Linked DNA regions of Daphnia pulex. The protein of the gene in region 1 purifies or fractionates together with the protein of each later gene. This does not show direct contact. Links are inferred from orthologs where the notes say so. Each region holds a gene or a part of one and is shown in the gene's direction. Other genes may lie near its edges.

What was found.
Region 2: the proteins of chromatin target of PRMT1 protein-like (region 1) and enhancer of rudimentary homolog purify together in Homo sapiens (affinity purification with mass spectrometry; 3 studies listed by BioGRID and IntAct, with this or other methods). This does not show direct contact. The link is inferred for Daphnia pulex from reciprocal best matches to the Homo sapiens genes CHTOP and ERH.

Annotation. Positions count from the first base shown.
Region 1 is NC_060027.1:3,847,207-3,851,159, reverse strand, and holds chromatin target of PRMT1 protein-like, read left to right. Parts: upstream 1-1,396; 5' UTR 1,397-1,552; coding exon 1,553-1,608; intron 1,609-1,776; coding exon 1,777-1,945; intron 1,946-2,007; coding exon 2,008-2,682; 3' UTR 2,683-3,137; downstream 3,138-3,953. Other genes in the region: tRNA selenocysteine 1-associated protein 1-like, read left to right, coding at 1-135, 202-352, 420-584, 647-1,104; protein timeless-like, read right to left, coding at 3,264-3,619, 3,689-3,923. UniProt on the Homo sapiens protein: Plays an important role in the ligand-dependent activation of estrogen receptor target genes. May play a role in the silencing of fetal globin genes.
Region 2 is NC_060018.1:8,869,587-8,872,295, reverse strand, and holds enhancer of rudimentary homolog, read left to right. Parts: upstream 1-1,241; 5' UTR 1,242-1,342; coding exon 1,343-1,345; intron 1,346-1,424; coding exon 1,425-1,633; intron 1,634-1,776; coding exon 1,777-1,876; 3' UTR 1,877-1,990; downstream 1,991-2,709. Other genes in the region: transmembrane protein 267-like, read right to left, coding at 106-444, 507-803; probable ATP-dependent RNA helicase DDX28, read left to right, coding at 2,463-2,636, 2,701-2,709. UniProt on the Homo sapiens protein: May have a role in the cell cycle.

The DNA of each region.
Region 1 (3,953 bases):
GAAGCCATCAAAGTCATGAGAAATAAGCACACTGGATTACCTGCTGGTTTTGGATTTTGTCAGTTTCGAGATGAAAAGCAAGCAATGGAAGTTCTACACAAATTGAATGGCAAAATCATTCCATACAGTCAGCCGGTAGTGTATTAACTTTTAATTTACCATAATTTATATTAGTTATATTATCTGTTTTCCCACTTTTAGCCAAGCCGTTTCAAGTTAAATCACAGCACAAACACTAAAGGTTCTACAGCCGATCATGCACTGTGGGTGGGAGATTTGAGTGCTGATGTAGATGACTATGGCCTTTACAAATGTTTTTCTGCAAAATATAACTCAGTTCAATTGGCAAAGGGTAATTTGTAAAATTTCTGTAATGATTTTATTGGCAATTATCTGAACTTCTCGTATTTTATGTTTAGTGGTCAGAGGCAGCAATGGAGAAAGTCGCGGCTATGCGTTTGTTAATTTTTCTAATGAAAGTGATTACAAAGATGCGCTGACACATATGCAAGGTCACAGAGGACTCGGCAGCAACCCACTTAGAGTTTCATTGGCTATTCCTCGTAATTACAACATGATACCTGGTAAATGCACGCTTAAACTTTTCTTTGGAGTACATTTCATTTCATACTCTTTTAACTTTTAGGATCCTCATCCAGTACATCTTCTACTTCTACGTTAACTGCATCGATTGCTTCGTCAATTGTCCAGGCCGCAGCCAGCGGCCAGCCAGTTCAACCTCAAGCTGCTGCTGCAGCAGCTGGCTACGGACAGTACGTCGATCCAGCCTATTGGCAACAGTACGGTGGCTGGCAAGGATATGGTTACCAAGGCGGATACGGCTATGATGGTCAACAAGCTTATGCCGGATATGGCGTTGCTGGGCAAATGCCTGCTCAACCTGAAGAAGATGAGTTTGAGCTCATAGAACACAATACACCCGTCGATATTGAGAAACTGAACAGAGAACTTTTTGAGCGCAATCAGGATTTGTGGGATGCACTAGATGAAGCTCGCTGGACAACATTCAATCCAGAGAAAGCCGTTCCGGCAGTTAAAGCTGAGGAAAACGGAAGCAGTACTCCTACAGTAGTGGCCGCCTAATTTCTTTTTATAAAACACTATTGACCATCTCATACGATAAAAAAACAAAGATTCATTTCTGCTTGTCATCTGATTTTGTTTTACAGAATGAATACATTGATTTCAAATAAATACAGATTTCCAATTCTTTCACTTTCTGTATTATCTAGTATATTTAATTATTGACATGATTCTACACCCATAAAACATTTCCTCCACCCACATTTTTTAAAACATGCACTCTTACTCAATCGTAAATCACGACATACTTTCTTTTTTCCGCTAGGTGTCACTTTACTACCCAATAGCAGTCGAAAAAAGTTGAGCGTCATTAGTTCACAGCCGGGCAAACATCAGCAATTGTTTTCATTGACTTCACGAGAAACATTTCTAGATAGCTCGAAATTATCTGTTTTCGGCATTTTCTTGACCGTAATTGAACTTTGGTTCAGCAGTATTCTAGCACAAAATGGCTTCAGGAGGCAGAGTACCAAATAATTCAACTTCCTTATCCTTACATGAAAGGTATAAATCATTAGGCAATTTGGGTTTGTTATGTCGTATATGCGATTGAAATAGTTGTTTGCCGCAATTTTCCCCCTGTTAAACATTGAATTTCCTTGCTTTTATAAAGTATGTGTTGATTTTCTTCTCATTTGCTGATTTTTAACGCATGAAAATTTTTCGTTACAGATTCTCCAAATTACGAAGCTCAGCAGGGGGTCAGAAATTGGCTGGAAAACTGCAAGGGGCTAGAAATAATGCAGCTAATCTTCAAAAGGCATCAAGCAAGAATAGCAGACTAGCTCAACAGATGGAAAGACGAAATGCATCAGTCAGTGCTGCTTTGAAACTGAAAAAGGTGCAATTCCTCGTTTTTAATTCATAACCAGATATACTTACATCATTTATACTGTTATTCAGAAAAGCATCAAACAACGCCTTGGAGCCACAGTAAACACCAGTACTCGATTTCGCGGAACGGCCACCCAAACTCAAAGGAGACTCACAACCAATCGTGGAGCTGGTCGCGGGAGTCAGTCGCGAGGATCTCTGCGAGGAAGTCGAACGCAAGGGCAAACGGTCACCCCAACAAAGATAATTCGAGGCCGGGGCGGACTGAAGCCCATTGTCAGCCAAACAATCGTTCGTGGCGGTGGACAAGGAAACAAGAGAAGCACTCGCGGAAGAATCATTTCTCCATCGAAAAAGCCAGCCCCCGTTGCTGCCACAACCAATCGTTCGCCGACCAAACCTTCGCGTGCTAGAGGCAGCGTGAGAGGAAGACGAGGTGGTCGAGGGCAGATGACATCTTCATTGATTACCGGGCAAGCTGAAAGTCGTATCCAGCGTGGAAGAGGAAGAGGACGAGGCCAACGTGGTGGTAAGGGACCCAGTCGTGGAGGAAGCAGCTTGCCGACATCTCCGCGCGGTCAGACATCCGGACGTGGTCGAGGGCGTGGTCGAGGTGGCTCTACCAAGGTCAGCAAAGAAGATTTGGACAAGCAATTGGATCAGTACATGCAAAAGACTCGTAGCGCTCTAGACAATGATATTGAATCCTACATGTCTAAAATTGGGGACGTTGAAATGAATTAAATATGCAATAATCTTTCTCCAGTCGTTACCTCACCTGTGCTGCTCCCCAACTTCAAACGAAAGAACCTTCTTACTAATAACTCCCCTTCGCCAAGTCTTGATTGACTATTAACAATGTTTTAGTCCTTAAAGTTAAAAGTGAATCCAATTCAGAATTTGTCTTTGAGAAAATGGTTGGACTGTTGTGAAGAGTCTAGACAGAAAAAAGAGATTTTGGACAACCTTGTCTTGATTTCATTCTAGCACTTGATTAAATGGTTCTTGTACTTTCCCCCAGTTTTTGGAGTCCCTTTTTGCCGTGTGTTTCTTGCTTTTCCCTCCTGTTACGGCGCACTTAGCACATGTATCTTTTTATAATTCATTCATATTTCATCCGAGGACTTGAGTGTGAAAAGGTGTGCCTGTGAAACGAGAAAGAGAAACTCATCCCAAAAAATACAAATGATTAACCTCAACACTAATTTGATTTTTGTTCCTTCATTTAATCGTCGCTGATCATAGACAAAATTACAACAAATTACTCTAATGATTGGCCAGCAGTAATCAAGCGGGACCGATCGAAGCTAAATTAAATGGATAAGCTACAATTTTCCTACACAACTCAAGTCGAAATCAACTTGCTGATGGGCAACGGAACCCAACGAAAGAGCAACATTGTACAGAGTGTCTGGTGACCATTCGAGTGGGATCCTTGGATAGGTGCCAGCGTTAGGAAGCGAAGGGAAAAGACCCAGTTGACGCAGAAAAAAGCGAAAGGGTTTCGAACTCAATGCGGAGGCTTCCGCTTCCGTCCAAGGGACTATCGGGCATGGCGTATTCAATTTCAAGCTCAAACAGGTAATTGGATGACGGAATTCGTGGTCGGAGTAAATGCCCAAACGTGCTGCACAGGCCGTCAATAAAGACGACTGAATCCAATCGAGTTGTTTCTGAAATCCTATATTTATCGATACATTAGATATAGCTTAAACAAGATGGGGTGTTATAAAAAAATAATAAGACTTACCATCGCCTTTGAGTAGAATAAGTAGCGACTCAAAATCGGTTCGGAGATTTTCAAACTCGTCATCGTCGTTGTTAAAAGTTTGGCTAGTGAGACTTTCAAATTCCATCGAACGCCAATCGTCTTGATTGGAAAATTCACTAGTCTCTCGGTCAGGTGATGTGTTGCCAATTTTGCCACGGCTCAGATTAAATATGTGTACAGCATATGCAATTAGATCGTGCCAATCGTCAGAAATCTAAATAGCAGCAGCAACCAAACGTTATCC
Region 2 (2,709 bases), on another chromosome or scaffold:
TTTTGCTTATTAACTGTAACCACTAAGTGCTGTAGTAGAAGAGAAACACAAAAACAAGACATTCTGCATTAACTTATCAAGATCAGTAAATGGGGAAGCTGAAATTTATATTAAAAATATCGGTGCTACGTGTTTTACGTTCGATTTTGTGACTATGTCAGTGATAAACTTCAAGCCAAATTGCAAACCTATAGGCAAAACTATAAGGCCGATGAGGTAAACAAAGTATGAATAAGGTGGAGTGGAACCAATTGGGCAGATCCAAATTCCATGTCTGTATCCATCCCTCCAATGATGAGTCCAAGTAGCAGTAACAATAATTACAGACATTTTGAGAAGACAGATGGAATGAATTCTGATGGAAAGTAAGGCCAATAGTAGAGCAACAACTGTAAACAGACTTGTGCAATGTAAAACTGGTCTGTGAGGCAGAGATGTAGCTTCCTGTAGAAAATGGGATTTACTCAGATTAAAAAACTTAAACTGGAATTTGTATGAATATTTACTTCAAGACTGGTAGTTCCAACAGCCAAAAAATGATCAATATCAATTGCAGAAGCCATTGATCCACATATAATAATGGCAACAAAATTAATTCTTTTATTGAATGACACATTGTCTACATAATTCCACGAAAGTGATGCTATAAGGAAATGAGTGGCACTATCAGTTATGCATTTAAGTAGTAACGATATGTAGGGGTACATGTACTGGGTGATAGTATCCCCAGCTATAGCTGTAACTGGTATTACAAAAAGGTTAATCCTTTTATAATGCTTCATTTTCTTCATTTTACTCTTCATTTTTCCCGACACAAAATTTAACGGAATTCTTATGGAAAACTGGTTGCCATATCAATTAAGTTTAAACAAAAATTACGTCTCACTTTAAGGCATAATATATACAGATAGCAAAGCAAATTGGGCACTTCTGTTTACGATTTCCCGATTTAATTTTTCTTTATTAATAATGGTTAGAGACGGTATATTATATTTGTTTTGCTGGTTTGTTTTGAAAAGACGGGAAGTTGCCATATTGCCCCTAAAGGCTAAATTATACTATCTTTATTTTATTCGTAAAATAATTTTGATACATGTCAATTTAAACTTCTTTAAAAATTGTAATTATTTTAATTAAATTTTTGGAAGTTAGATATTAACGATTTCTGACTTTATATCTTTTTATTTGTTTCTGACTTCATTGCGCGATTGCATCTATTTTGAAATTATGCAACGTTTTAACAATAGGCTTCTCCAAAAAACTGCACTGAAAGTTTTCCGAGAAAACAAACCTGGATGCGAATTTAAAGATTTTAAAACAACGTTCCAAGACAGAAACAAAAATGGTTAGTTAATTTGAAACAAAAACGCTTCCTGCTGTTGGAATTGATAAGTTAATGTATTTTTCCTATACCACATTTTTAGTCTCACACGATCTTACTAGTCCAGCCCGGACCCAAGCCGGAGACGAGAACGTATTCTGATTATGAATCAGTAAACGAATGTATGGAAGGTGTTTGTAAAATCTACGAAGAGCATTTAAAAAGACTGAATCCAAACACTCCTAGCATCACATATGATATCAGCCAATTGTTTGACTTCATTGATCAGTTGACCGATCTCTCCTGCCTAGTGTAAGGGCTCATTTTATATTATTGAAAAGACACCTTTTGAATTAATGATTAACCCTTAAAAAAATATAATTTTCAATTATTTATTTCATTTCATTGATTTAAATTCTTAAAGGGAACTAATTCCATGTTTATTTTTATTTCAGGTACCAGAAGATCAGCAATACTTATGCTCCATACAATAAGGACTGGATTAAAGAAAAAATCTACATTTTGTTGAGACGTCAAGCAGCTAAAGCTCCTTAATGGGAAATTTCATTCATCTTTCCGTTTATACTTCTGTTTTTCTCTTAACCCCGAAATTGTGACGTTCAATAAAATGTTTCTGACAAAGAGGCAGAACAATCTTAAAACTGTAAATGTGTTGGAAATTGCAATGATTAATTTTATTTCTCCAACTTGTTTTGAAACAGGTTAAACCTCTTTTATCACATTTTATAATATTAAGCTAAGGCCTAAGGCACGGATATGCGTCATTCGGACGTCATTTTCGTCATTCAGTCTAAGGGTCTAAATAAATGAATGTCGCAAATCCTACCAAGTACAAGTAAATAAATATGTTAATTGTTTTTTTTATTTGTATGATGATGTTTTGTTGAACTTTATTACTTAGGCAGAGATCATTTAAAGGGGATGTCCATGAAATAATTCTCTAGAAACAGTGAAACTTACATGGAAGACCATCTAGAAAGCTTAAAGAGAGTAATGAAACATCTGTTGTGTCGGCTGCAATGGTGTGTGCTGTACATGTGTGCATCGTGCATCCAGCTTATTTATAGGTATAAAATTGAGCAAGTTTAATTTACTTCCTATAAGAAGCAACCAATTCAACATGGAACGATTTCTCGTAATGAAGTCGCTGAAATTATTTAGTCGTGCAATATCGACAGTTTCAAAACCAGAGACAATCACAATGCCAAGAAAATGGCACAAAAAAATGGTAAAAGATTTAAACGAAAGACAAGAACAGGATAAATTGAATAAATCTTACAAAGGAAATCTCAAGGTTGGTTCACAAATTTAAAAATGTTATGAATTTGTTCACTTTGATTTAATTTATTTATTCTTAGGTATGTATA